Stegostoma tigrinum: one gene and its partners. The protein of the gene in region 3 purifies or fractionates together with the protein of the main gene of each other region. This does not show direct contact. Links are inferred from orthologs where the notes say so. Each region holds a gene or a part of one and is shown on either strand. Other genes may lie near its edges. The genes, in order: rpa2, atr and etaa1a.

Region 1 (10,742 bases), on a different chromosome or scaffold from region 3:
AACCCTTCCTCAAACCCAAGTTCTGAGGAAGAGACACTCCACCTGAAATGTTAACTCTGACTTCTTTTCACAGATGCTGCCACACCTGTTGAGCTTTTCGAGCAATTTCTGTTCTTGTTTTTGTTTCTGGTTTACAGCATCCACAGTTCTCTCACTTTTTAATAGAACATAGAACAGTACAGCACAGAACAGGCCCTTCAGCCCACAATGTTGTGCCGACCATTGATCCTCATGGATGCACCCTCAAATTTCTGTGACCATATGCATGTCCAGCAGTCTCTTAAATGACCCCAATGACCTTGCTTCCACAACTGCTGCTGGCAACGCATTCCATGCTCTCACAACTCTCTGCGTAAAGAACCTGCCTCTGACATCCCCTCTATACTTTCCACCAACCAGCTTAAAACTATGACCCCTCGTGCTAGCCATTTCTGCCCTGGGAAATAGTCTCTGGCTATCGACTCTATCTATGCCTCTCATTATCTTGTATACCTCAATTAGGTCCCCTCTCCTCCTCCTTTTCTCCAATGAAAAGAGACCGAGCTCAGTCAACCTCTCTTCATAAGATAAGCCCTCCAGTCCAGGCAGCATCCTGGTAAACCTCCTCTGAACCCTCTCCAAAGCATCCACATCTTTCCTATAATAGGGCGCCCAGAACTGGACGCAGTATTCCAAGTGCGGTCTAACCAAAGTTTTATAGAGCTGCAACAAGATCTCACGACTCTTAAACTCAATCCCCCTGTTAATGAAAGCCAAAACACCATATGCTTTCTTAACAACCCTGTCCACTTGGGTGGCCATTTTAAGGGATCTATGTATCTGCACACCAAGATCCCTCTGTTCCTCCACGCTGCCAAGAATCCTATCCTTAATCCTGTACTCAGTTTTCAAATTCGACCTTCCAAAATGCATCACCTCGCATTTATCCAGGTTGAACTCCATCTGCCACCTCTCAGCCCATCTCTGCATCCTGTCAATGTCCCGCTGCAGCCTACAACAGCCCTCTACACTGTCAACGACACCTCCGACCTTTGTGTCGTCTGCAAACTTGCTGACCCATCCTTCAATTCCCTCGTCCAAGTCATTAATAAAAATTACAAACAGTAGAGGCCCAAGGACAGAGCCCTGTGGAACCCCACTCACCACTGACTTCCAGGCAGAATATTTTCCTTCTACTACCACTCGCTGTCTTCTGTTGGCCAGCCAATTCTGTATCCAGACAGCTAAGTTCCCCTGTATCCCATTCCTCCTGGCCTTCTGAATGAGCCTTCCATGGGGAACCTTGTCAAATGCCTTACTGAAGTCCATATACACCACATCCACAGCTTGACCCTCATCAACCTTACTAGTCACATCCTCAAAAAACTCGATAAGGTTTGTAAGGCATGACCTACCCCTCACAAAGCCGTGTTGACTGTATTTGATCAAGCCATGCTCTTCCAGATGGTCATAAATCTTATCCCTCAGAATCCTTTCTAACACCTTGCAGACGACAGACGTGAGACTTACCGGTCTATAATTGCCGGGGATTTCCCTATTTCCTTTCTTGAAGAGAGGAATTACATTTGCCTCTCTCCAGTCCTCAGGTACGACTCCAGTGGAGAGCGAGGATGCAAAGATCTTCGCAAGTGGCGAAGCAATTGCATTTCTCGCTTCCCAAAGCAGCCGAGGACAAATCTGATCCGGGCCTGGCGACTTGTCAATCTTAATGTTTGACAAAATTTTCAGTACATCAGCTTCCTCTATCTCTATCCATTCCAGCATGCACACCTGCTCTTCAAAGGTTTCATTCACTACACAGGTCGTTTCTTTCGTAAAGACAGAAGCAAAAAACTCATTTAGGGCTTCCCCTACCTCCTCAGGCTCCACACACAAGTTCCCTATGCTATCCCTGATCGGCCCTACTCTTTCTTTGACCATTCTCTTATTCCTCACGTAAGTGTAAAATGCCTTTGTGTTTTCCCGGATTCCTTCTGCCAAGCCTTTCTCGTGCCCCCTCCTGGCTCTCCTCAGACCATTTTTGAGCTCCTTCCTTGCCTGCATGTAATCCTCTCTAGCTGAACTTGACCCTAGCTTCCTCCACCTTATGTAAGCTACCTTCTTCCTTTTCACTAGAAGCTCCACCGCTCTCGTCATCCAAGGTTCCTTTATCTTACCCCGTCTTGCCTGTCTCAGAGGGACATATTTACTCATCACTCCCAACAACTGTTCCTTAAACCATCTCCACATGTCTATAGTTCCCTTACCATGGAACAACTGCTCCCAGTCCATGCTTCCTAACTCGTGTCTAATCGCATCATAGTTTCCTCTTCCCCAATTAAATATCCTCCCATTCTGCCTAATCCTCTCCTTCTCCATAGCTATGTAGAATGAGAGAGTGTTATGGTCACTATCACCAAAATGCTCTCCCACCACAAGATCTGATACCTGCCCCGGCTCGTTTCCGAGCACCAAGTCTAGAATGGCCTCTCCCCTCGTCGGCCTGTCAACGTACTGCGTTAGGAAACCCTCCTGAACACACCTTACAAAAACAGCTCCATTCAAATCTTCTGCTCGAAGGAGGTTCCAATCAATATTAGGAAAGTTAAAGTCACCCATTACAACAACCCTACTGCGTCCACACTTTTCCAAAATCTGTCAACCTATGCTTTCTACAATCTCCCTGCTGCTATTGGGGGGCCTGTAGTAAACCCCTAACGAGGTGACTACTCCCTTGCTGTTCCTAATTTCCACCCATACTGACTCAGTAGGCAGATCTTCCTCGACAATGGAAGCTTCTGTAGCTGTGATACCCTCTCTGATTAGTAGTGCTACACCCCCTCCTCTTTTTCCCCCCTCCCTATTCTTTTTAAATGTTCTAAACCCTGGAATATCCAGCAACCATTCCAGCCCATGAGAAACCCATGTCTCTGTTATGGCCACAACATCATAGCACCAGGTACTGATCCATGCTCTAAGTTCATCACTTTTATTCCTGATACTCCTTGCATTAAAGCAAACACACTTTAACCGATCCCTTGGTTCCTTCCCAGGAAAATCCTTCCCACTAGCTGGTCTACCTCTTGCTACTGCCTCACCTGCATCAACGCTCACCTCTGGTATACAGCTCAGGTTCCCACCCCCCCTGCCATACTAGTTTAAACCCTCTCGAACTACTCGAGCAAACCTTCCACCCAGGACATTGGTCCCCTTCCAGTTCAGATGCAACCCGTCCTTCTTGTACAGGTCCCACCTTCCCCAGAAGGCATCCCAATTATCAACATATCTGAAACCCTCCCTCCTACACCAGCTGCGTAGCCACGTGTTCAGCTGCGCCCGCTCCCTGTTCCTCACCTCGCTATCTCGTGGCACCGGTAGTAAACCAGAGAACACTACTCTGTTCGTCCTGCTCTGCAGCTTCCATCCTAACTCCCTGAAATCACTTTTTATATCCTCAAACCTATTTCTGGCTATATCATTTGTGCCAATATGTAACACGATTTCTGGCTGTTCACCCTCCCCTTTCAGAACTTTATACACCCGATCGGAGACGTCCCGGACCCTGGCACCAGGGAGGCAACATACCTTCCGGGAATCCCGATCTTGCCCACAAAATCTCCTGTCGATTCCCCTAACTATCGAGTCCCCTACCACGAGTACTTTTCTATTCTGCCCCCTTCCCTTCTTTGCCACAGTGTCAGACTCAGTGCCAGAGAACTGACTACTATGGCTTTCCTCTGGTAGGTCAACCCCCCCAGCAGTATCCAAAACGGTATACTTATTGCTGAGGGGAATGCCCACAGGGGATCTCTGCACTGTCTGTCTGTCCCCTTTCCTCCCCCTAACTGTAACCCATCTATCCTCGTCCTGAGCCTTAGGAGTGACCAACTCCCGATAACTCCTCTCAATTACCCCCTCTGCCTCCCGAATGATCCGTAGTTCATCCAGCTCCAGCTCCATTTCCCTAACACGGTTTTCAAGGAGCTGTAGCTGGGTGCACTTCCCACAGATGTAGCCAGCGGAGACGTGTGCCACATCTCCCAACTGCCACATTCTGCAGGAGGAGCAAGCAACTGCCCTAGCATCCATACCCCACTTATCTGAACACCCACTCAGTACTAAAGCAGAAAGCTCACTTCAAGTAATAATAACAAATTAATAACAAACTTATGTTCAATAGAGAAAGTTTAGAATGAACCTTACCTTATTAACTAGGTTAGAGGAGGAGGGCGGGTGGGAGACACTACAGTTGTAGAGTCTCAGGTTAAGCCGCCTTGCTGAGATATATGGTCACTGCTTTCCTTCCCGGCTGCCCCTCTGGTCCTCGTCACTTCCTCTGATGCTCCCGCTCCTTCTCTGAAAGAGCAAAAAAAACACCGCTGCCCGCTACCGGTAAGTAATTTTAAAAATAAACTGCTTTACCTTAGCTGCAGTCTTCCGGGTCCGTCTTGCCTCCGCTGCTGCTCGCACTCAAAAAGGCCGTTGGCGTCGAAGGGTGAGTATTTATACTCACTGCTTTCCTTCCCGGCTGCCCCTCTGGTCCTCGTCACTTCCTCTGATGCTCCCGCTCCTTCTCTGAAAGAGCAAAAAAAACACCGCTGCCCGCTACCGGTAAGTAATTTTAAAAATAAACTGCTTTACCTTAGCTGCAGTCTTCCGGGTCCGTCTTGCCTCCGCTGCTGCTCGCACTCAAAAAGCAAAAATGATTTATCAATCCATGTTTCAGTCTGGAATCTGACTAGTTCAGAAATAACATCAGTGTGATCAAAACAACAATGTTGTTTCTTATTCATAGCCTTCATATCACAATATGATTCCATACTCCAGCTGAAATTATGTGCATAGCACCCTCAGAGCCATAAAGCACAGGAACACATCCTTCGGTCCAACTTGTCCATGCCAACCAAGACTCCCAAACAAAAACTAGTCCCATTTGCCGATTTTTGGCCCACATCCCTCTAAACCATTCCTATTCATGCACCTGTTCAAATGACTTTTAAATGTTGTAATTTTACCTGCATCTACCACTTCTGCTGGCAGTTCATATGAATGACCCTCTGTGTGAAAATATTGCTTCTTAGATCCCTTTTAAATCGTTCTCCTGTCACCTTAAAAATATACCCACTGGTTTTGGACACCATCCCAGTTCCCGTTCCCCCACCTCTCCAACCTGAGGGAAAAGACCTTTGCTGTTAATCTTATCTATGCCTGTCATGATTTTATAAACCGCTACAGTCACCCCTTAACCTCCTACATTGCAGTGAATAGTCCCAGCCTATCCACCTTCTTCCTATAACTCAAACTTTCCAGTTCTCGTAACATTCTGGTAAATCTTTTCTGAACCTTCTCTAATTTAATAATATCCTTCCTACAGCAGGGTGACCAGAACTGGACATGGTACTCCAAAAGAGGCCTCACCAACATCCTGTACAGCCTCAACATTACGTCCCAACCCATAAATTCAGTGGTCTGAGCAATGAAGGCAAGCATGCTAAATGCCTTCTTAACCACCCTGTCTACCTGTGACACAGCTTTCAAAGAATTATGTACTTGGACCCCTAGGTCTCTGTTCAACAATACTACTCAGGGCCCTACCATTAACTGTATAAGTCCTGCCCTTGTTCGCTTTGCCTTGCATTTATCCAAATTAAACTCCGTCTGCTACTCCGCAGCCCATTGGCCTAATTGATCAAGATCTCTTTGTATTCTTAGATAACCTTCGCTGTTGACTATACAACCAATTTTGGTGTCATCTGCAAACTTAAGAACCCTGCATCCTAAATTCTCCTTTGAATCTTTTATGTAAATGACGAATAACAGTGGACCCAGTGTTCATCCCTGCAGAACACCACTGGTCAGAGGAGCCTCCAGTCTGAAAAACAACCCTCCACCACCACCCTCTGTGCCCTGTCAAATCAATTTTGTATCCAACCGAAAAAGGTGTCCTTGAATCCCATGTGAGCTAACTTTGCTAATCAGTCTACCATGCGGAACCTTATCAAAGGCTTTGTTAAAGTCCACGTAGACAACATCTACCTCTCCGCCCTCGTTAATCTTTTTGAATATGTCCTGAAAAACTCAAATCAATTTTGTGAAATATGATTTCCAACACACAAAGCCATGCTGACTATCCCTAATTAGTTCCTGCTCTCCAAATGCATGTAAATCCGGTCTCTCAGCATCACCTCCAACAACTTGTACATCGATCCTTGAAAGTGGAGTCACAGGTAGACAGGGTGGTGAAGAAAATGTTTGGCATGCTTGCCTTAATTGGTCATAACATTGAGTTTAGGAGTTGGAATGTCATGTTGCAGCTATGTAGGACATTGGTGAGGCCACTTTTCGAATATTGCATACAATTTTGGTTGTTCTTCTAAAGCAAGGATGTTGTTAAACTTTAGAGGTCACAGAAAAGATTTACAAGGATGTTGTCAGGACTGAAAGGTTTGACTGATAGGGAGTGGCTGAATAGGCTGGGTTTTTTTTTAGCCGTAGTGTCGGAGACTGAGGGGTAACCTTATGGAGGTTTATAAAATCATGAGAGACATGGACAGGGTGAATAGCCAAAATATATTTCCTAGGGTGGGGAGTCCAAAAGTAGAGGTTTGAGGTGAGAAGGGAAAGATTTAAAAAGGATCTTAGGGGTAACTTTTTCCACACAGAGAATGGTGTGTGTATGGAATGAGCTGCTGGAGGAAGTGGAGGAGTTGGATACAGTTACAACATTAAAAAGGCACTTGGATGAGTAAATTGTAGGAAGGATTTAAAGGAATATGAACCAAATGCTGGCAAATAGGGCTAGGTCAGACTGGGATGTCTGGTCATTGTGGATGAGTTGGACCAAAGGTCCTGTTTCCATGCTGCATGACTCTTCGATTTCATGACAATGTAAGTTACCTACCTCTGATCCCCAAATCAATGTTGTGAGTTCATGATTCAGTCTGTGGACTTGGTCACAAGATTCTAGTGGTAAGGGAGTGAGATGTGACCTTGCTGTTCATGAGAACTTGCTTTCTATCTCCTTTTGGACATTATGAAAATCCATTATTGTATATCTGAATGTTTCTGATCTAATCGTTTTTTTAAAGTATCTGTTTGGTGGAATTATAACTAAGGAAAGATTTGCACTTTCCTCAGGCTTCCAGATGTCCCAAAGTGCATTCCAGACAATTAAGTATTTTTTGAACTGTAGTCACTGTTGTAGGAAATGTAGCAGCTGTCTTACACAGAGTAAGGTAGCACAAACAACCAGATAACCAGTAATGGTTGATGAGGATCTCTTGTCCAAGTCACACAGGAAGAATTGCATAGTTTCATTTCAAAACAGTGGCATGAGCTCTTCTAACATTAGCTTAACAGAGCAGAGCAGTCTAGCCTCAGTTTAATATCCCACCTGAAAGTTAACACTTGTGAAAGTGTGCCATTCTTCTAGTACTGCACTAGACCATCACTTGAAATTGTATACTAAATATCTGGTGTGGTATTGGAAACCACGGCTTTCGGACCGCAGAAGCGAAGGCACTATTGAAATTACACACATGGCTTCATCCAACAGTTAGCCATAAGAAAAACAGATTTGTCGTTCTTGGTCTATTGTCATAACATCCCATTCAGAGATGATATGCAACAGGAAAAAGGTATGATCACAGATTTTAGTTTACTCCCTGTGAACTATCATGAGCATACTTAGTTGGTTCAACTGCCCAGATGATGTTTAACACTGTGAATTGTACAGTTGTAGAACACCACCATGCTTAACATGTATTAACATGCAAATATATATGCCACACATGAATTAGGAACAGGAGGAAGCTGCTCTGCCATTAAAAAGATCATTACAAAGACTCCGCTAAGAAAGTATTTCTTTTCTGCTTTAAACAGGCAGGCCTTATTTTTGAGCAGTGACCCCAAAGTCTAGATTGTCCCACTAGAGGAAACATCGTTTCCATACTCACCCTATCAAGCCTTTGTTTCAGTCAAGTCTTTGTTTTGTCTTCGAAACTCCAGTACATACAATCAGAACGTGCTAACCTTTCTTCATAAGAAAATTCACTCATTCCAGCTGTTAAATCTTCTCTGAATTATTTGCAACAAATTTACATCCTTCCTTAATCAACGAGATCAATACTGAACGCAGTACTACACATGCAGTCCATAAGGCCATTCGGCCCATCGAGTCCACTCCGCCATTTAATCGTGGCTGATGGGCATTTCAACTCCACTTACCCGCACTCTCCCTGTAGCCCTTGATTCCTTGTGAGATCAAGAATTTATCAATCTCTGCCTTGAAGATATTTAATGTCCTGGCCTCCACTGTGGTCCGTGGCAATGAATTCCACAGGCCCACCACTCTCTGGCTGAAGAAATGTCTCCTCATTTCCATTTTAAATTTACCCCCTCTAGTTATAAGGCTGTGCCCACTGGTCCTAGTCTCCCCACCTAATGGAAACAACTTGCCAGCATCCACCCTCTCTAAGCCATACATTATCTTGTAAGTTTCTATTAGATCTCCCCTCAACCTTCTAAACTGTAATGAATACAATCCCAGGATCCTCAGCCATTCATCGTATGTTAAACCTACCATTCCAGGGATCATCTGTGTGAATCTCCGCTGGACATGCTCCAGTGTCATTATGTCCTTCCTGAGGTGTGGGGCCCAAAATTGGACACAGTATTCTAAATGGGGCCTAACTTGAGCTTTATAAAGCCTCAGAAGCACAAATCTCCCCAATACCCTGTATTAAAAGGGTAGGCAATGGCCTAGTAGTATCATCACTAGACTATTAGGCCAGAGATCTTGGTAAAGTCCTGGGGGCCTCAGTTTGAATCCTGACATAGTAGATGGAGGAATTTGAATTCAAGTAAAAATGTGGAATTAAGAGGTGAACGAGGACCACGAAACCATTGTTGATTGTCAGGAAAAACCCGTTTGGTTCCGAATGTCCTTTGGGGATGGAAATTGTCATCCTTTTCTTATTCTAGGCTACATGTGACTCCAGACCCACAGCAATGTTGGCTGACACTTAGCTGTCCCCTGGGCAGTTAGGGATGGGCAACAAATTACTGGCCTAGCCAGTGACGCCCACATCCCATGAATGAATAAAAGAAACTAAAGCATGACCTCTCCAGTTTGGTATTTAATTTCCCAATATAAATACAGAGAGAGAGTAAGGAAAATTCAGTACGGCACACTAGCTTCCCTTTCCTGAGTTAAATCAACTCCTTCAGTTTGAAGCTTCTCTGATTCCCTGCATTCACTAATATTCTATCACAAGTTGAGTGTAATGGCCATCAATTGGGAGAAGGTGCAGAAGAAGTTGAAAGGTGGATAATACACCTTGCCCAGATGGTCCACACCCCAGGGTACTGAAGGACAGGTCTAAGGAAATTGTGGTGGTCTTTCAGGAATCACTGAAGTCAGTGAAGGTCCCAGTGGACTGGAAAATGGCTAATGTAACACGTCTGTTTAAGAAGGGAAGGAAGCCAAAGATGGGAAATTGTAGACCAATTAGTCTGACTTCAAATAAAACTGAAAGTACTGTGGATGCTGTAAATCAGGAACAAAAACAAAGCTGCTGGAAAAGCTCAGCAGGGTTTTGAGGAAGGATCACCGGACCCAAAATATTAATTTTGATTTTTCCTTCACAGATGCTGCCAGACCTGCTGAGTTTTTCCAGCAACTTTGTTTTTGAATCTGACTCCAATCATCAGTAAGATTTAGAGCCCATTATTAAGAATAAGGTACTCGGAAGTGCATAGGAACATAGAGATGAGTCAGTATAATTTCATTAAGAGGGGGTTCTGCCTGACATTTCTGTTAGAATTCTTTGAAGAGGGAACATGCAAATTACACAAAGCGAAGTCAGCGGATGTGATCTATTTCGATTTCCAGAAGGCCTTTGACAAGGTGCCACAGGAGGCTGCTAATTAAGATACGAGCCCATGGTGTAAGGGGCAAGATTCTGGCATGAGTAGAAGATTGGCTGATTGGCAAAAGACCAAGAGCAAGGATAATAGGGTATTTTTCAGGATGGCAGCAGGTGACTAGTGAATTTCAGCGTGGGTCAGTGTTGGAACAGCGACTATTTGGCAAGGCCAAAATTTATTGTTCACCCCTAACTGCCAGGAGAGAATGGGGTGGAGAGCAACTTTCTTAAATATTGCATGCATGCCGTGCAGACACAACCGCAGTGCTCTAGTTCGTTGGGGAGTTCCACGATTTCGACTCTGTAACAGCAAAAGAGCGGTGATATAGTTGCAAGTCAGAATAGTGTGTAACTTGGAGGGAAATGTACAGGTGATGATGTTTCCATCATCTGCTGCCTTTGTCCTTCTAGATGGCTGAAGTCATGGGTTTGAAAGATGGCATCAAAGTTGAGGCAAATAGCACAGATGCATTTAAGGAAAAAGTAGAGAGTGTGTGACTGACACCTCATTTTCACCATGGACTTCCAGTTCCTATACACCTGCATTCCTCATGCAGATGGCCAGGATTGAAAAGAAAACGTTTGGAAGAGTAATGGGAAGAGATTCATATGGACAATAAACACTGTCAGATAAATTGGGCCAAATGATCTTTTGCACTGCAAACCCTTAAATTGAGTGATTTCTTTTTCTTCAAAACACTTTACACAACTGATCTATAAACTTGATAAAGCTCAGTTTGGGCTCATTTTGGACCACCAAAATGACCAATTTGCCTGACTGATTGCTACTCAGGACGGAAGCAATTCACACCAGGTTTTGTAAGTAACAGCAAAATA
Region 2 (10,483 bases), on a different chromosome or scaffold from region 3:
TTTCAGTGTTTCTCTGAGGGGATTTAACCATTAACTTAGCTGTATTTCTGTAACCAAAGTGACTAATTTTAAAACACAGTTTGAGACACAGACTTCCTGGACAAATAATAAGGTTGTTTTCATTTGAAAAATTTACAAGAAACCAAAAAAGAACAGTGTAGTTTATTAGGCTTTGAGATCAGAAACTTTACTTTCAGATTACCATTAGGTTACATCAAAATGAATCTAAACCAAGTCATAAATGACTTCACTGTTCTGTGGCCATTGTACATTATATCTGTTCACTTCTTTGGGGGCCTCAGGGGAAATACCGACAAGTTAGTGAAACAAAGTTTCTGGATTTTATTGGGCAGTTTGGCAAAGTCTTAGCTAAAGCTGAATATGTAAAGTGTCTATGTTTGGCTTGGGCTACTATAGTTACGTTGTAAAAACCAAAAGAACTGTGGATGCTGTTGATAAGGAACAAAAACAAAGTTGCTGCAAAAGCTCAGCAAATCTGGCAGCATCTGTGGTCCAGTGACCCTTCGTCAGAACTGTAGTTTCACTGACCCAGTTAAACCGGTGGCCTTCATTATCCGAGTATACTGATATTAGGGAAAGTTCATTATGAATATGTAAAAGAAAGGGAGGTGGTTTAGGACAGTTAAAAAAGAGACAACCTCAGTGTAAGGACTTTTCAACTAAAGTTCCAGACTGTAAAGTTAAATTCCTGAAATGGTCTCCATAAGTCTCCAAAGAGAACATTCAGATTCTGAAAACAGGGTCAATGATCTACAACTAATTAAATTAAACCTTTTGGTGTGATATAGAAGAGGATTCTCTATTGTCCCACAAAGGAGGGTTTCTTTTGGGATTAATGGATATTTTTAACCAAAAATGTGTTTCGAAGTCTATAAGTTGGTTATATGTTTAAGTAGTTTTTTTTTAATCTAACCTATTTTTCTAATCAACCTGTCAGAGATGTTACTAAACATCTTTGGAGGAGATGGGATTTGAACTGAGCCTCCAGGTCCAGGTGTAAGGACATGACCACTGTGCAACAATGTTTATTCAAGTTTATTTTCATTTCTTTCTCCTAATAAAATCTGAGTCCACAGTATTTCATGTTTGGTTGAGGTTTTTGCAAAGATTTGTAGCACAGATTGTGGATGAAGTTGTTGACTTGCTCGCTGAGGCAGCTTGTTTCCTTTCAGACATTTAGTCACCATGTTAGGTAGCATCGTCAGTGAGTCCTCTAATGAAGCGATGTTGTTCTACTCTGCTCAGAATTTATACTGTCTGTCCGTTACCGTGAGTTGTGTCATTTCCAGTTTTGTTCTCTATGGATTTGTACACAGAGTCCAATTCCACATGTTTGTTGATTTCATTCTGGGTTGAGAACTATGCCTCTAGGAATTCCCATGCGCATCTATGTTTGGCTTGGGCTATTATAGTTACATTGTCCCAATTAAATTGATGGCCTTCATTGTCCGAGTGTACCCGATATTGAGGAAAGTTCATTGTGTCGTTTTCATGCTAGCTGATGTTCATGTATTCTGATGGCTAGCTTCCTTCCAGTCTGTCTGATGGAATGTTTATGGCAGTCATTGCGTGGTATTTTGTCAATTAGGCTGGTTCTGCATGTCGTGAGTATGGGGTCAATCCTTGTGAGTGTTTGTCATCGTGAGGCTATGGACTTGTGTGCTTCTGTGATTCCTAGTGGTCATAGGAGTCTTGTTGTCAGTTCTGCTATTTTCTTGATGTAGGGCAGTGCGGCCAGTGTGATAGAGCATAGTGTCCTCTTGTTGTGTATTTAGTAGGCACCTGTGGATGAAATTGCAGGGATATCCATTCATAGCAAAGATTTGGTATACAGAAACCACAGCGTCCACAGCAAGAACACCAAAGTCCACAAACAAAGCTGTGTTAGGGCACTATTTAAAAATGGGCCACCACTCACTGCAGCATGCCAGGACTACACAGGAAACAGAAAGAGCATCTATACAAAATATTGAATATGAGATTAACTGCAATTTCTGCCATCGAAATGTTGGGAACATCAAAACCATTTTCTCTAACCACTTCAGCTATCTTCATTTCACCATCACAACTTTCGCCACTACTTGAAGCTAAATCAGCCTGTTGTTAACCCAAACATCTTATTTCATCCTGATCAAGGCTTTCAACTTATCTTCCCACCTCTAAGAAGGAAGCTAACACAACAATGTGTCGTTGAAATCCTCAATTACATCATTGTGAATTTCACCTATTCCACTGCTCCTCAAACTGCTTTGTGCCTCTGATCCCTTATCAGATCCTATTTTTCTCCAACTTTTCTGTCTTTTTTGTCTGACATCAACATTCTTCCTACTTCTTGGACGCTGTAAGACTTGCTTACCACAACCTTGGAACAGTACATTACTTTACCACCAATTAAGTACGTGTTCAAAAGCTGTCAACACCACAGCCAATTCTCATGCAACAAAATCATACACTGTAGCATGATATTCGGGGGAGGCGATGGCCTAGTGGTATTATCGCTGAGTGACCTAGGTAGCATTCTGGGGATTCAGGTTCAAAGTCTGCCATGGCAGATGGTGGAACTGGAAAGCTATAAAAATCAGGAATTAAGAATTTTACAACGACCATGAATTCATTGTCAATTTGTGCAAAACCCATCTGGTTCATCCGTGCCCTTTAGGGAAGGAAGCTAAATCCAGATCCACAGTAACGTGGTTGACTCCCATCTTGGCAATTAGAGGTCGGCAATAAATGTTAGCCTAGCTAGTGGTGCCTCTATTCCACGAATGAACTTGTTAAAAAATTCACTAAATCATTTGTTTTGGAGATGTTATTCAATGGATATGTACTGACTACACATCAGAGAGAATTCCTAAGGTCTCCTTCAACAGAGTCCCACTGGATATTTTGGCATACAATTTAAAAAAACCTAAGGTTTCAGTTCAACTTCTCATCTAAAAGATACTTCCAACAGTATTGGAGCTTCTCAGGCTAGATTTTGCACACACAATCTGCAACAAGCCATGATCCCACACGCAAGTGACACTTAGGTGATGAAGCCCCAGCTATGATGTCGTGCCAGACATGATCTAAACAAGTGAAATTATAAAGCACATTTGAAGGGCTCTTGCAGTGCAGTGGCCCAGCAGGCTTGGGTTCGAGTCCCACCTGTGCCAGAGATATATCATAACATCTCAGAACAGGTTGATGCTCAGCATCATTTTGTCTCTCAGATTTATGTTTGATTCGTATTAGAAATAAGGGCTCACTGCCTAAAAATTGTGTGCTGTGCTTCCCTTCATTTCATCTGATGAAGGTGTAACATTCCAAAAGCTTATGCTTCAAATAAACCTGTCAGACTATAATCTATGTCATGTGATATCTGACTTAGAAACAAAATAACATGCTGCATTGAAATGACCAAGGGTCAATATCCCTGTACCATCAATCAAATATATATTTTTTCACCAGTAGCAGGCAGTAAAATCTAAAGCATGGACAAAAGTATTAACTAGGGTAGGGTCGATGGACCCAATGGCCTTCCTATTTCTTATGAGATTTTAAACTGTGTAAGAGCATTTCAAATAAAAGACACTTCACATTCGACAATAAATCAATCGAATATTATGCATGTGAATGAGAGAGATTTGAAGAGTTCATCCGGAAGCTGTCAGTGGAGGTCCCCAGGACAGAGGAGACGGTTCTGGAAGGTCCTGAGGCCGGGGCCTAGTCTCTGCTCCACGACAGGGGAGCGAAGGCACGAAAGCAGCTCACCTCTCCAGCTCCCGCAGAGCCGGCAAGATGGAGGCCATCTCCAGGCCCTGTTCACACATCCTGACAAATACTCCCGCCTCCCGAAGGCAGTGGACGGTTTCGCCTTAAAATTATTCACGTTCGCCCAGCGCGGTCCCAAAACCGCGCCACCGGCCTGGCCCCGCCCACTGGGAGGGGGGGGGGGGCAAGCCGATCACAGGCTTCGCCCAATCGATGCGCAGGACGTTGCGATCGCTGACCGCGCCCTATCCGTGCGTGAGGCGGGGCGTTCGCTGACCTCGCCCAATCGGAGCACAGGGCGTGGCGTTCACTGACCACGCCCGTTGCACGGCACGGGGCAGGGCGCACCAAGAGCCCACCTACGCGGGCCAGGGGGTGGGGAAACCACTGTCCCCGTTGGGCGAGGTGGGCGAAGGAAGTGCAGCCCCACCTTGGAGCCGCCACGGTCCACTCAGAAATAAGGGCGCGGTTTCGGTCACCTGCGACCCCGCCCATGTCCCGACAACCCGTCGGTGACAACTCTTTCCCCCCCGCCAAAACCAGGTCGCTTGGAGCCCTCTGATTGGTTTGGCCTAACGTCCCCGGATTGGCTCCACGGTGGGAGCAATCTGATTGGTTCAAGCCTTGGGGCTGTCGCACCTGCGTGTTCCCCGGCGCATGCGCTAAGTTTGAATGCGGTCGGGAGCGGGAGGATCGGTTATGGTCAAAATTCGACGGATGCGGAAGCAGGCTACTCGGCCCATTGAGTCCATTGTGGGCCTTAGACCCACCTCTCTGTACCAGCTCCCTGTTCAGGGTTTGACTGAAGATCTGTGGCTGGGGCCTTGGTTGTAGATGTTGGTGTGTTCGCCCGAGCTGGGAGGTTTGATAGCAGACGTTTGGCCCACTTACTGGGTGACGTCCTCAGTGCGATGGAGCCTCGCGTGAGGTGCTGTTGTCTTGAGCCATTTCGAATTGCTGCTTCCAGTAGCTACCGGTGCCGGTTGTGCGTTGTAATGGTCGGCACACCGGGTCTAATTCAATGTCTTTGCTGATGGCATCCACAAACGAATGCCTAGCCTCCAAGAATTCGCTGGCTGGCCTCTGGTTGACCTATGACAGTGGTATTGTCCCAGTTGAGAGTGTGGTTTTTCTCGTCTGTGTGTATTGAAAACCAGGGACATCTGGTCGAGTTATTTATTTGCTAGCTGTTGTTTGTGGATGCAGATTACTAGCCTGTTTGTCCCATGTAGTGTTTTATGCAGGCGCTCCACATGGCAGTCTTTCACTCTGGTCAGTTGCTATCTTAATGTGGCTGCCAGTTTGTGTGCTGGCATGATTCCTAGCAGTCTGAGTAGTCTGGCTATCAATTCTAAGGTGTTCTTTATTTATGGTATAGTGGTTATTGTTTTGGGTTTTGTTGCCAATTGGCTAGGGATCTGTGGAGGAAGCTGCGGAGGTATCCATTCCTGTTAAAGACTTTATAGAGGTATTCTTCTTCCTTCTGCAGATTGGGTGTGCTGCAGTGTGTTGTGGCCCTTTTGGACCAGGTCCTCATGCAGCTCCTGTTGTGTGACAAAAAACAGAAATTGCTGGAAAAGCTCAGCAGGTCAGGTAGCATCTGTGAAGAAAAGAAATCAGAGTTAATGTTTGTGTGAGTTGTGTCGTTGCCATAATAGTTTAAGACCTGGTCAGTCTCTGTGAATTTCCTGTGCACTTTTGTAGTGAAGTCACCGTTCACTTTTCTTTGCACCATCACATCCAGGAATGGGAGTTTGTTGTTAAGACCATAAGACATAGGAGTGAAAGTAAGGCCATTCGGCCCATCAAGTCCACTCTGCCATTTAATCATGGCTGATGGGCATTTCAACTCCACTTCCCTGAACTCTCCCTGTAGCCCTTGATTCCTTGTGAGATCAAGAACTTATCGATCTCTGCCTTGAAGGCATCTAACGTCCTGGCCTCCACTATGCTCCGTGGCAATGAATTCCACAGGCCCACCAGTTGTTGTTTTCCTCTTCTCTAGTAAATTTGATCCGTCTGAGTATGGTGTTGTTGAGTCAGTGGGTGTTTTCAATTTCTGATCTTTTCATAGTTACAAGTGTCATCCGTGTGTCTGATGCAAAGCTTGGGTTGGATCTGTGGGTGGATGGTTGTTCCAGTCTTTCCGTGACTACCTCCGGTATCAGTCCAGAGATGGATGAGCCCATGGGAATCCTGTTGATCTGCTCATATCTCTTGCCTTCGAAAGTAAAGTGTGTTGCTAAGGATAAGTCCAGTAGTTTGAGTACACAGTGTTTGTTGATCTGTTCCTTGTTTTGCCATCTCCTGTGTTTGTTTAGTGGGTTGGATATGGCTTCTTTGGCCAGGTTTTTGTCAATTGATATAAACACTGCTGTTATATCAAGCGAGATCATCACTTCTTTGTCTATTTTAGTGTTCTTGATGTTGTCCAGGAATTCTTGTGTTGGTTGTACGAAGTGTCTTGAACTACTGATTAGATGTTTAAGCTTTTATTGTAGTTCCTTGGCTAATTTGTGTGATGGGGTTCCTGGTAAAGCCACAATTGGTCTGAGGGCTATGTCAGGCTTGTGGAAGTTGGCCAGTCCGTAGAATCTTGGATTGTTGTTGCCTTCAGGTTTCATTCCTTGTAATTCTATATTTGTTATCTGTCCCGTTTTGTGTTTGTTCTGTAGTGTATTGGCTATTCCGTTTGTTAGTTGTGGGGTCCCACTCCCTCTGTTGGTAGTTTTGTGTATCTGTAAGTAGTTCTACAACTTTTTGTATGTAGTCAGTTTTGTTCATTGCCATAGTCATTCTGCCTTTATCATCGGGAACGATGATGTTTTTGTCCTTTTTTGAGGTTCTTCAGGGCACCCCTTTCCTCTTTGTTAAGTATGTTCATTTGTGTTCCCCTTGTCGGTAGGTTCTGCCTGATCATTGATAATAAAATGTGAGGCTGGATGAACACAGCAGGCCAAGCAGCATCTCAGGAGCACAAAAGCTGACGTTTCGGGCCTAGACCCTTCATCAGAGAGGGGGATGGGGTGAGGGTTCTGGAATAAATAGGGAGAGAGGGGGAGGCGGACCGAAGATGGAGAGAAAAGAAGATAGGTGGAGAGGCATTCTCCAGCATCTGCAGTTCCCATTATCTCTGTCTGATCATTGTTGTGTTTCTTTGTTTAGTCCGTTGTTTTTGAGTGTGGACTCTAGTGCTGCCAGGAAGTCTTTTTTTCAGCAGTTGCAGTTCAGTCTTTTGATTAGTACTAGTTTTTTTTCTGTATCTGTGAGCAGTCTGTTGGAGAGGTACCTTATCCATTTGTCAGTCATGTGTGTCCTCTGTCATTGGTCAATTTAGTCATTTTTTTCTGTAGTGCTGTTTTCGTTTCTGTGTGTGGGGTTCAGTTCTGTGTTATTGTGATGGCCCATTTGATTCTCGTAGTCCATGCCTGATTGGTCGCTTTTGAAATTATCGACTCTTGGCGCATGATTTCTTGTTTGTACTTGTGGGGTCAGTAACAGGCATCTATGATCATGACTTGTATCATCCTGCAGCCATTCTGTCTGGCTGTTTCTCTGGCATGTGGGTTATTTACTGAGATCATGGGAACTGCAGATGCTGGAGAATCCAGGATAACAAAGTGTGAGGCTGGATGAACACAGCAGGCCAAGCAGCATCTCAGGAGCACAAAAGCTGACGTTTCGGGCCTAGACCCTTCATCAGAGAGCTTTTCTTGGGAGTGGAATGCCTCATCCTGGGAGCAGATGCGGCGGAGGAAAAGGAATTGGGAATAGGGGATGGAATTTTTGCAGGGGGTTGGGTGGGAGGAGGTGTATTCTAGGTAGCTGTGGGAGTCGGTGGGCTTGAAGGGTCTAGGCCCGAAACGTCACCTTTTGTGCTCCTGAGATGCTGCTTGGCCTGCTGTGTTCATCCAGCTCCACACTTTGTTATCTTGGATTATTTACTGGTTGTCTGTACCTTAAGTACGGATGTTGTAGTTGTTTGTTGTGGCACTCGTGTAGGAATGTGAGTTGTTGATATGTGGTGCTTGTTCGGTTCACACAGGATTCCTACTTCCTTGTTTGGTTTAGCGTTTCATGCCTATAGGTATTTAGGGTTTGAGTGAAGATTTGTAGCTGGGGTGCTGGTTGTAGATGTTGGCGTGTTCACCAAGCTGGAAGGTTTGATAGCAGACGTTTCGTCCCCCTTACTAGGTGACATCCTAAGTGCTGTGGAGTCTCCCGTGAGGCGCTGTTGTCTTGTGCCAGTTCAAGTTTATATGGTCCGGCTTTTGCTGATTCTGGTTCTGGATGCGGTGGTGGAAAGAAAACAGAATGGTGATATTACTACAAAAGTGTACAGGAAATCTACACATACTGACAAAGTCTTTCACTATCACGGCAACCACCCCCACTCACACAAGAGGAGCTGCATTAGGACCCTGTTGAAAAGGGCTGCTACGCACTGCAGCACACCCAATCTGCAGAAGGAAGAAGAAGAACACCTCTACAAGGTCTTCACCAGGAATGGATACCTCCACAGCTTCATCCACAGATGCCTAGCCAACACACAATCAGGGGACACAAAACCCAAAACAATAACCACAATACCATACCATGTATAAAAAAACACCTCAGAACAGACAGCCAGACTACTCAGACCACTAGGAACCATGACAGCACACAAACCGGCAGCCACACTAAGATAGCAATTGACCAGAGTGAAAGACCCAATAGATACCATGGACATAACGGATGTGGTTTACAAGATGCCATGCGGAGACTGCACAAAACACTACATGGGACAAACAGGCAGACAACTAGCGACGCACATCCACAAACACCAGCTAGCAACTAAACAACATGACCAGATATCCTTGGTTTCAATGCATACAGATTAGAGAAACCACACTTTCAACTGGGACAACACTTCTCACATTGGACAAGTCAAACAGAGGACAGCCAGGGAAGTCGTGGAGGCTAGGCATTCGTCTGCAGACTCCATCAACAAACACATTGAATTAGACTTGGTACACTGACCATTACACGCACAGCCGGAACCAGCACCTACTGGAAGCAGCAAAAACCAGACCATGTAAATCCCAAATGGCACAAGACAACAGGGCCTCACAGGAGTCTCCACAGCACTGAGGATGTCACCTAGTAAGGGGACGAAGCATTTGCTATCACACCTCCCAGCTCAGCAAACACACCAGCACCTACAACTATATCCCTGTATTCCCATGGCTAACCCACTCAATCTGCAAATCCCTGGACACTATGGACAATTTAGCATGGTCAATCCACCCTAACCTGCACATCTTTGAGCTGTGGGAGGAAACAGGATTCAGAGGAAACCCATGCAGACATGGGGAGAATGTGCAAACTCCATGCAGACAGGCACCTGAGGGTGGAATTGAACCTGGATCCCTGGTGCTGTGATGCAGCAGCGATAACTAGTTAGCCAGCTGATGTGTTTTTGCACCGCTTTCTGTTTTTATTTTGGATCACTAGCATGGCCAGAAAATGAATTGGATTTGTCATATAAGTGGCCATAACAGCAGGTCAGAGATTAGACTACCTACAGCGTGGAAACAGGCCCTTTGGCCCAACAAGTCCACACCACCCCTTGAAGCATCCCACCCAGACCCATCCCCCTGTAACCCACACAGCCCTGAACACTACGGGCAATTTAGCATAGTTGATCCACCTAGTCTGCACATCTTTGGACTGTGGGAGGAAACCGGAGTACCTGGAGGAAACTCACGCAGATAACAGACAATAGACAATAGGTGCTGGAGTAGGCCATTCGGCCCTTCGAGCCAGCACCACCATTCATTATGATAATGGCTGATCATCCACAATCTCTATCCGGTTCCTGCCTTATGCCCATAACCCGTGATTCCACTATCGTTAAGAGCTCTATCCATCTCTTTCTTGAAACTATCCAGAGACTTGGCCTCCACTGCCTTCTGGGGCAGAGCATTCCATATGTCCACTACTCTGGGTGAAGAAGTTTTTCCTCAACTCTGTTCTAAATGGCCTACCCCTTATTTTTAAACTGTGTCCTCTGGTTCTGGACTCACCCATCAGCGGAAACATGCTTCCTGCCTTCAGAGTGTCCAATCCCTTAATCTTATATGTCTCAATCAGATCCCCTCTCATCCTTCTAAACTCAAGCGTATACAAGCCCAGTTGCTCCAATCTTTCAACATGTGATAGTCCTGCCATTCGAGGAATTGACCTCGTGAACCTACGCTGCACTCCCTCAATAGCAAGAATGTCCTTCCTCAAATTTGGAGACCAAAACTGCACACAATATTCCAGGTGCAGTCTCACCAGGGCCCTGTACAGCTGCAGAAGGACCTCTTTGCTCCTATACTCAATTCCTCTTGTATGAAGGCCAGCATGCTATTAGCTTTCTTCACTGCCTGCAGTTGCTATTAGCTTTCTTCACTGCCTGCGGGGAGAACGTACAAACTCCACACAGACAGCCACCCAAGGCTGAAATCAAACCCAGGTCCCTGGCACTGTGAGGCTGCAGTGCTAACCACTGAGCCACCATGAGGAGCCTTGCAGCAAGTAACCTATTCCTGACCAGTGTTCCCTTCTGAGGCCCTTGCATTGCAGCAACTTGCAGAATCAGAAGTCAATGCTATGATCAGCATGCCCATCACTGTGCGTGAAACATCAGAGTGGATTCTGACTCCCCAAAGCCTATCCACCATCT
Region 3 (10,023 bases):
GGAATAAAATGCGAAAGAGATATATGTGCCATCGGATTGTGTTGCCTTTGAAAACGAGATTGAACGACACAATTTACAAATCCTGAAATTGAAAGCTAATCCCATCTGAACGACATATGGCTCTTTAGCATTTCATTGTAGATTTCGAAAAACTGTGCACAAAATTAAAACCAATTGCTAACCTCTACCACCATTCTGCACAAACACTAAAAGCAAAAAAATAGTCAGTGTTATTCAGCACAGAAAAGGACCCTTCAGTCCAATTCATCTGCGCCAACTAGATATCCTAAACTGATCTAGCCCTATCTAATAATTTCCATATCCCTCTAAACCATTACTATTCATGTATCCATCCAGATGCCTTTTAAATGTCGTAATTGTACCAGCCTCTGGCAGCTTGCTCCATACACGCACTGCGCTCTGCATGAAAAAGTTTTTGCTCAGTTCCCTTTTAAATCTTTCCTGTGTCACCCTAAACCTACACCCTATAGTTTTGGACTCCCCTACCCCAGGGAAAAAAACCTTGGCTATTCACCTCATCCATTGCCAATCACGATTTTATAAACCTCTACAAGATCACCCCTCAGCCTCTAATGCTCCAAGGAAAAAAGCCTCAGTTTATTCAGCCTTTCCTGACAGCATCTTAAACAAGGGAACACATTTTTGCATCAGAACATTTTCAGGGTAGGAGCCTTTAAAATGCAATGGCATTTTATACATTGGATTCATTTGAAGGGTTGTTTGAATGGAAAATTTTCATATTTATGTTCTAATCCAAATATCTTTTAAACAATGTAATTGTGTCCATATTCAACACTTTGTCAGAAAGTTCATTCCACACGTGAAAAAAAACTCCCTCTCATGTCTTTTCAAAATCTCTCTCCTCACCATAAAAACATGCTCCCTAGTCCGAAATCCCCCATTCTAGGGAAAAGACATCTACCATTAACCTTATCTATACACCTCATGATTTTATACCTTAGGAATGGATCTTGAATTCAGAAGTTCCTGACTCCAAGTCAAAAGGGAGATCTACTGATTTTAGGGGGGACATTGGACATGTGTAGCAAACGGTTATAGGTCAAAGAGTGAAAAGTATGTTTATAGGTATTTCAATCAAACTGCTCAGGTATGTTATTATAGTCATCTGGAGCAGTCGGGGCTTGAACCCAAATCTTCTGGCCCCGAGAGAAAAACACCACTACTACCCTGAAAGTACGCCTATACAGTATTCACTGCCATGCTTTTCTTCCCTCCCCTGATGAAGGTAATTCAGATACAGGATTAACTGCAGATGAGTCTCAAATTTCATACAGCATGTGTTTGTACAATGAAAGCCTAGATAAAATCTTAATGAATATGCCTAAACTGGTATTCAGAGTAGATAGAACCTTTCTTTTTTTACTGTGATTGTCTGCTTATGTATATACATCACTTACAGCTTCTCCCTTGTCAGATGCCAAGATGATTGAGTTACTACCGTGACAAAGGATCTTGCAAACTGTTAAGTGATTATTTTGCAAATGAATTTAAGAAGTCATATTCAACATCTTCAACACATCATCAAAGCATGAATATAGCAAATCTTCCTCACTTTTGCATCATCACTTGCCTCAACAACATCACTATCATGTGTGTGTGGCACCCACAGCTGAGTCCATGACATGCCTTCATCAGTCTAAGGTTTCTTCATATCTGAAGAAGGGTCCAGATCCGAAACGCCAGCTTTCCTGCTCCCCTGATGCTGCCTGGCCTGCTGTATGCCTCCAGCTCCACACCTTGTTATCTCAGACTCCAGCACTGGCAGTTCCTACTATCTCCAAGGTTTTACTTCTGTTGCTCTGCTCACCAGCCTTCTCTATCGCAATCATAAGCTTCACTTCAAACATAACATACTTCTGTCCTTACCCTCACAACATCCTGCAATCCACACTGTCAACCCTGACAAGTTGCTTAGAAATCTTTCCATGAGCTCATCCTCTCTTATAGAAGATTACTTCCGGTCTTAGGGGTTCACATTCACCTTTCCACTGTATGGAATTACTCTTCAATTCCCACTGCACCCCTACTCAATGGTTACAATGCCTCTGTCCATGTCACACCAAATCGCCTTGCCACATTTCCCGCAGTTTTAAAACTAAAAATCCTTCCTTTTGACAGTGCATTGTGTAACAAATGGGAACGGAAAGGCCATTCAGTCCTCAAGACTGATCAGGCAGTGATCAATGAGATCATGTCTTAGCTCCCGCTAATCTCATTAACACTCCTGGCTAGCAGAAATCTAGCAATGTCAAAATTTAGGAGTTATTAATTCAAGCAGCATCTACTTTTTTTGTGGGAGAGTGTTTCGCACCCTTCTACCACCCTTATCAGGAAGTAATGTTTCCTGATTTCAATCTAGACTTGGACCTCTCTCTTATTCTTTGCATTTTCCCTTACTTTTGTCCAATAATGATAGTTTGCCCAACAGCCACCTCTCTTCCCTTCAATGCCCTACTTTGGCTTTGGTGCCGTGTAAGCAGCATTTATATATTGTACTCCAACGTGCTAACATTCCTCAGGCTACTTCAGAGAAGCACTGTCATACAAATTCTGACATCATCATAAAAACAGTGACCAAGGCAAACAGGTGGGTTTTAAAACAAGAATTACAAGAGTAGAGATAACTGGTTTCTTTGCGGGGGTGGGGAATTCCTTGGCATAGGATCCAGGCATGACAGTTAATGGTGGAGCAATTAAAATTGAGGAAGCTGAAGAGGCCAGCACTGGAAAAATACGCTGGAGAGTATAGATGTCTCAGGGAGTTGTGGGTCTAGTAGAGGTAAGACAGAGAAAAGATCCGGATCATGGACAGATTGGAAATCGAGGAGATGTTTTAAACCAAAAGAACAATGCAGGCCAGACAGTACAAGGGCAATGGGTGAATGGGCCTTGGTGCAAAACTGTCTGCGCAGCAGTTTTCAATTAGTCCCACTCGTGGACGGAAGAAACGTTATCTTAAATAATGATATGTCCAAATAGATATACATGTACATCGTGCCCATACAATTATTGCTACCCTGGGTTTTTCTACTTATATTCTTGCTGCCAAAGCAGTATTTTGACTTTGAGCTTTTGACTTCCTGAGTTCTCTTTTGCTCCTTGGTTTTTGACTGACATTTTTAATTTAAATTTTGCCAGTTTCCTTTGCAGTTGATTCTCTTTTTTTTCCCCCTCCAAGCTCGTTAATCTCCCCCTAATCCATTTTCACCTATTCTTTTTACTACCAGTTTTGTTTTGCTCATCTTATTTTTGTTTTCGGCTGTTTAAATGGGTTTTAATGCCTTTTTTTAATCTAGCCTGTCTTTGCTCCAAGGGATCTTCAGTTTTGAACCCAGAGGTTTACTGATGACAATGTTTCTTACATTACTGCTTTTTGCTCCTATTTTGTTATTCTCTATTCCCAATGCTCAGCACTTTCTTTGCTAACCAAGTTTTATCTTTACACTTTCACTCAAATTCATAATCCCAGTTCCTAGATCCTTTTTTTTTGGTTACTCCCAGCTTTGGATGCTGTTTTGTTTTCCGGCCAATATAGTTTGTTTTTAATTCTCATTACTATTGCTAATCGATTTTGCATGTTTGCAGTATTTGTTGCTTCCAAATCTTTTTCACCCCTTATTGAATTTGGTTGTTGTAGTTTTGTTTTGACAACATCTGTGCTCCCAGCATTCTTTTTAGACCTAGACTTACGCTCAACTTTCCCCCCCCCCCATCATCTTAATGTTCCCAATTTTGTTTTTGGAAAGTTCCAGTTTTGGTGCTTAGTTTTTATTATTGCCAATACAGTTCTTCTGTTCTCAGTTTCTGGGGTTTATTTTGTGGCTGTAGCAGGCAGTTTTTTTGGGGGGGGATGGCCCTGAGTTTCTCTGCAATGAGGAGGGAGGGAGGTAGGTAGTTAGTTAGTGAGTGAGTGAGTGAGTGGCCAGGGGGGATGAGACAGTAAGGGACGCCGGGGCCAGTGTTCACCTTCAGGCGCCCGGGGCCTAGCGGCGGACCTAGAGCCTCGGCTCAGCCTGCCGGTCCGCGCCGGGGGGGTCAAGCCAGGGCCGGCTCCTCGCTCGCCAGAAGGCCCCGGGCTGGGATGCAGCCGTGTCCGCCTCGGCCTGGCGTTGGTGCTGCCGCTGCTCGTCGCCTCGTCCTCCTCCCCCTTCTTCTTCATCCTTCACTCGGCCTCGGCCGCCGCCATCTCGCCGCTGCCTTGGGATGAAAATAAAAACCCGTCGACACCGCCCCACCCCTTTAAGGGCCGCACCCCTTCATCCATTGGCTCAGGACGACGTCATACTCGCTTTCTATTGGTTGCGCCGTTGCTAGGGCCTGTCCCCGCCCCCTAGTAACCGTCCATCAAAGTTGGAAGGGACCTTGCGACAGGAGGCGAGGGCCACGTTCTGCAGGATGGTCTGTGAACCCGAAATGTGCGCTCTGCTTCCTTTCTCTACAGATGCTGCTAGACCTGCCGAGTTTTTCCAGCAATTTCGGTTTAAGTGCGAAAAAATCTAGCATTTATATAGCATCATCTGTAGCCACCCATTGCATTCACACAACCTGCTTCATCACCAAGATAATAAAATGTGAGGCTGGATGAACACAGCAGGCCAAGCAGCATCTCAGGAGCACAAAAGCTGACGTTTCGGGCCTAGACCCTCTCTGATGAAGGGTCTAGGCCCGAAACGTCAGCTTTTGTGCTCCTGAGATGCTGCTTGGCCTGCTGTGTTCATCCAGCCTCACATTTTATTATCTTGGAATTCTCCAGCATCTGCAGTTCCCATTATCTCTGCTTAATCACCACTTGTTGCATTTATCTACCATCTTCTATCACCAAGTGCATTCATATAGCCTCATTCATTACCACTTGTTAGACTTATATAGCATCTTCTATCGCCACACATTGCATTCATATAGCCTCTTTAATCACTAGTTCAAGCATTTATATGGCATCTTTGATCACAGTTGTTATATTCATATGGCATCTTCTATCAGCACTTGTTTTCATGCAGCATCTTTTATCACCATTTGTTACAGAGGTATAACATCTTTTGTCATTGGTCATTACTCATTTTGTCATTTATGCATCAGCTTTCATCACCTCTTGTTGCATGCACAGAACATCTTTTATCACCATTTGTATAGCATCTTTCAGCACCATCAGGACATTGCAATGCCCTCATCTGTGGAGTGATATTGAGATGGTGAGGGGCTGTGGATAGTGTTGATGGTAAGTTGGGGGAACACATGCTGTGACAACAGTAACGGTGTGTACTTGGTGTTCAGGGTATGGGGTGTGTTGGAGTGAGGGAGGAGTGGGGTGGGTGGGCTGGTGTTGTGCTGGGGACATGATGTGCGGGGTTGTTGCAAGCAGTGGTGTGTGACATGGATTGTCAGTGGCAATTGTGCTCAGGAGATATCTAAAGGGCCTAGGGTGTATGGAGGTGCATTGGGTAACTCCACCAATCACTCAAACTGCCTCTCCCTATAACTCCCCCCAAGGCCTGGACTTGCCCTCCCAACAGTGCGAATGCCCAGAGCAGACCTGAGTAGCCCCTGATCTGATTACCCCTAACTTACCTACCCACATTCACTTGCCATCATGTCTATCTTACTCATTCATACAATCACTAACATTCACAGTGGACCTTCGCACCACGCAAACGCCAGGTGACGATATGTCTAATAAGAGACAAACTAACCACCACTTCTTGACATTCAATAGTATTACCATCACTGAATCCGTCACTATCGACATCCGAGGGGTTCCTACTGACCAGAAACTTCACTGATTTATCCACATACAAGAGCGAATCACAGGCTAGGAATCTTGCAGTGATAGGTTTTGTTGATAGTGAGGAGGGTTATCAAAAATTATAGAGGGGCCTTGATCAGGACGGCACGGTGGCTCAGCGGTTAGCACTGCTGTCTCACAGCCCCAGGGACCTGGGTTCAATTCCAGCCTCGGGCGACTGTGGTGTGGAGTTTGCACGTTTTCCACATGGGTTTCCTCTCACAGTCCAAAGATGTGCAGGTTAGGTGGATTGGCTGTGTTAAATTGTCCGTAATGTTTAGGTGGGAAATGCAGGGATTGGATAAGGGGTGGATCCAGGTGGGATACTCTTCAGAGGGCAATGTGGTCTCGATGGGCTGAATGGCCTTTGCATGCACTGTAGGAATTCTATGACTAGGTGGCAAAGTGCGCTGAGGATTAGCAAATATAATTCAATACAGATAAGTATGGGATGTTTTACCTCACAGGTAGGACTTAGAGGTCCTCATAGAGGTAGGACTTAAATAGTAACTGGTAAGGTCCTCGAGACTGTTGTGGGACAGAGGGACCTAGGAGTACAAGTACATAGTTGAAAGCAACATCACAGGTAGACAGGGAGTTGAAGAAGCATTTAGCATGCTGGCCTTCATCAGTCGAGGCACTGAGTATAGGAGTTGGAATGTTATGTTGCAGTTGTATAAGTTGTTGGTGAGGCTGCACTTGGAGTATTGTGTACAGTTTTGGTCACACTGTTAGAGGAAAGACATAGTTAAACTGGAAAGTGTACAAAGAAGATTTACGAGGATGTTGCCAGGGCTAGTAGGCCTGATTTAAAGGGAGATGTTGGCCCAGGACAGCACTTTATTCCTGGGAACATAGGAGAATGAGGGGTGACCTTATTGGGGTGTATAAAATCATTAGGGGCGTAGATAAGCTGAATGCATGTAGCCTTCCTCCCAGGGATGGGGAATTGAAAACTAGAGAGCATAGGTTTAAGGTGAGAGGGGAAAGATTTAAGAAGGACCTGAGGGGCAGCTTCTTCATGCAGAGAATTGTGCGTATCTGGAATAGTCTGCCAAAGAAAGTGGTTGAGGCAGGTACAACAGCAACATTTGACAACATTTGGAAAGGTACTTGGATGGGAAGGGTATAAAGAGATGTGGACTGAATGCAGGCTGTTGGAACTAGCTGAGTTGGTGCTATGGTCAAATGGGCCTGTTTGCATGCTGTATTACTCAATGACTCCATGAGTAACTCCCCTCCTGACTCCCCAAAGCCTGCCCACCATCTACAAAGCACAAGTCAGGAGTGTGATGGAATACTCCCCACTTGCCTGGATGGGTGCAGCCCCAACAGCACTCAAGAAGCTTGACACCATCCAGGACAAAGCCCAGATGATTGGCACCACATCCACAAGCATCCACTCCCTCCACCACCAGTGCTGAGTAGCAGCAGTGTGTACCATCTATAAGATGCACTGCAGAAACTCACCAAAGATCCTCACATAGCACCTTCCAAACCCACGACCACTTCCATCCAGAAGGATAAGGGCAGCAGAAACATGGGAACACTACCCCCTGCAAGCTCCCCTCCAAACCACTCACTATCCTGGATTGAAATTTATCGCCATTCCTTTACTGCCACTGGATTGAAACCCTGGAATTCCCTCCCTAAGGGCAATGAGGGTCAATCTACAGCACATGGACTGCAGCGGTTCAAGAAGGCCACTCACCCCCACCTTCTTATGGGCACCTAGGGATAAGCAATAAATACTGGCCCAGCCAGCAACATCCACAGTTTGGGAGTAAATAAGAAAAGACGTGTAACCTTAGCTAACAGCAGTTAATGCCATTAAAAGAAAGGGGAGGTGTGTCCATTCTTCTCTCTGCTGCTTTAGTGGTGCCATGGAGATCTTTGAGTGACTGTATGTTCCATATTTCTACGGACGCTGTTTTGGGATAACACTGCCAGAAGTGCAAAGCAGCATCAGTCAGCCTGGCCAAAGGTTTAAGCAGTGCAGAAATCTTCTTCGGATTTCAATTTCACACACAATCTGGGACAGTCTCACTGTTAATGTCCATTCTGCCTTTAAGTCCAAATGATATCCCCCAGCAAGAGAAAGCCTCAAGCCAGTCCTTTTGATAACGTTGACAACTCAAATTTCAACAAATTAAATTCTCTTAAATAAATGTAGTTCCCAGAGATTTGGAATTGCTCTGGTTTCAATCCGTGTTTGTGTATTTAAAGCAGGATTGCAAATTATTTTCTGGCACAGTCCACTGGTTGTTACCTTAAAAAAATCCAGCTGCATCCAGTATCATGGATTTTAAATTCATTATATCTCCTTTGTTGCCATTGTAATAAATCTTAACATTTAACAGCAGCTAGTCCCTGTCTAAATAGTATGCCACCCAAATGTTACACTACATTTAAACAATTTTGCAGAGCAAACTTGGGTGGAACAGGATGTGATTACTTAATTTATCAAATTAGGTTCCTGAATAAAGCAAGTACAATATTCTCCCCGCTTAGATATAGTTTGAAATTTCTCAGACCCCGAGGGAATAACATTCCAGGATATAATTCACCTCTAAAATCAATACTATTTATTGCACAGATGATATATTTATCACCACTGTAGCAGGAAAGCATTGTCTTCAAACCAATCTTTAACAGATATAAACCTAACTATTTTTCTAAATAATGAATCTGCGTATTTCTTATTTGCTTTTGTTCGAAATGACCTGCATGTATGCAGCTGGTAAAACAATTTTGCATTTTTATAGAGATAACACGGTGTGGAGCTGAAGGAACGCATCAGGCAAAGAAGCATCAGAGGAGCAGGAAAGCTGGCTTTCTGAAGAAGGGTCCAGACCCGAAACATCAGCTTTCCTGATCCTCTGATGCTGCTTGGTCTGTATGTTCATCCAGCTCTACATCTTGTTATCTCAGATTCTCCAGCATCTGCATTTTTAAATCTCTGCATTTTTATAGCACCTTTTACCAGCTCAGGATGTTTCAAATTGTGTGCAGTGTAGCCTCTGCTGTCTTTGTAGGAAGCACAGCAATTAATTTGTGCACAAACTCCCTCCAGACAGCAAAGTGATGCTGGTTAGATTGTTTGTTTTTGGGGGTTAAGGGATAAATATGAACCAGGTTACCAGGAACAACTCACACTTTTCAGAAATAGTGTACAGCATCTTTTCTGTCCGTCTTCTTCACAACTTGCACTGGGCTCGAAATATTAACTCTGTTTCATGCTCCACAGATGTGCCAGACTCACTGAATTTTTCCAGCACTCTGTTTTGGTTTTAGATTTCCAGCATCTGCAGTTTTATTCCTTCAGCACTGTACTGGACTCAAAGAGTGCATTGCCTATTCAGCTGTGGTTATCGTCACCCAGAGTTCAGTTGGCTGGATGGCTAGTTTGTGCCACAGGGTGATGCCAACAATGTGGCTCAATTCCTGCATCTACTGAGGTTACCACGAAGATCCAACCTTCTTAACTTCATCCCTCGCCCGAAGCATGGTGATGATCAGGCTAAACTCACCACTGGTTATTTCTTTCTCTCGCCAATGAGAGAGCAGCCTTCGGGTCCTAAGGTATACTTACTTTACTGTCCTTACCCAAATAACTACCCTGCTCCAATATCCCATTTTTTCCGTTTGATTTACAACATCTTCTCTCACAATTCCCTGCCCACCTTACCCAACCTCTCCACTATTATTTGGCTAAAGCCCTCTCTACTACCTTAGTTATAAAATTCAACAGAACACTGATCCCAGCACTGTTCAAATTAATAACAAAAGCAGAAATTGCTGGAAAAGCTCAGCAGGTCCAGCAGCATTTGTGGAGAAAAAAATCAGAGTTAACATTTTGGGTCCAGTGACCCTTCCTCAAACCCAAACTCTTTCATATTTTAAAGGCAAGCGTAAGGTGTTATGTTTCCAATGCAGTTCAATTCAACATCGGACTTAAAACAAAACACACGTTACTCACACATTATTATCAAAATACAGACAAAATAAAAAGAAAAGAATTGGCTTAACTGTAATTCTATCAAAATGCTTAACAAAATAATATATATATTAACTATAACAAATTAACTGTTCCAGTATCGTAACATCTCATAAACACACCCTTGGAAAAGGCAAATTCAGTAAAATAGATTGTCTTATATGCAATTCTAGGAAGAGGAAGAGAACCCCAGGTTTTAGCTGGA

What was found.
Region 1: the proteins of etaa1a (region 3) and rpa2 purify together in Homo sapiens (affinity purification with western blotting; 4 studies listed by BioGRID, with this or other methods). This does not show direct contact. The link is inferred for Stegostoma tigrinum from reciprocal best matches to the Homo sapiens genes ETAA1 and RPA2.
Region 2: the proteins of etaa1a (region 3) and atr purify together in Homo sapiens (affinity purification with western blotting; 3 studies listed by BioGRID, with this or other methods). This does not show direct contact. The link is inferred for Stegostoma tigrinum from reciprocal best matches to the Homo sapiens genes ETAA1 and ATR.

Annotation. Positions count from the first base shown.
Region 1 is NC_081377.1:37,458,914-37,469,655, reverse strand, and holds the start of rpa2 (replication protein A 32 kDa subunit), read right to left. Parts: upstream 4,658-10,742; 5' UTR 4,183-4,657; intron 1-4,182. UniProt on the Homo sapiens protein: As part of the heterotrimeric replication protein A complex (RPA/RP-A), binds and stabilizes single-stranded DNA intermediates that form during DNA replication or upon DNA stress.
Region 2 is NC_081367.1:73,392,143-73,402,625, reverse strand, and holds the start of atr (serine/threonine-protein kinase ATR), read right to left. Parts: upstream 3,934-10,483; 5' UTR 3,834-3,933; coding exon 3,775-3,833; intron 1-3,774. UniProt on the Homo sapiens protein: Serine/threonine protein kinase which activates checkpoint signaling upon genotoxic stresses such as ionizing radiation (IR), ultraviolet light (UV), or DNA replication stalling, thereby acting as a DNA damage sensor.
Region 3 is NC_081362.1:3,833,139-3,843,161, reverse strand, and holds the start of etaa1a (ewing's tumor-associated antigen 1), read right to left. Parts: upstream 4,253-10,023; 5' UTR 4,202-4,252; coding exon 4,009-4,201; intron 1-4,008. UniProt on the Homo sapiens protein: Replication stress response protein that accumulates at DNA damage sites and promotes replication fork progression and integrity.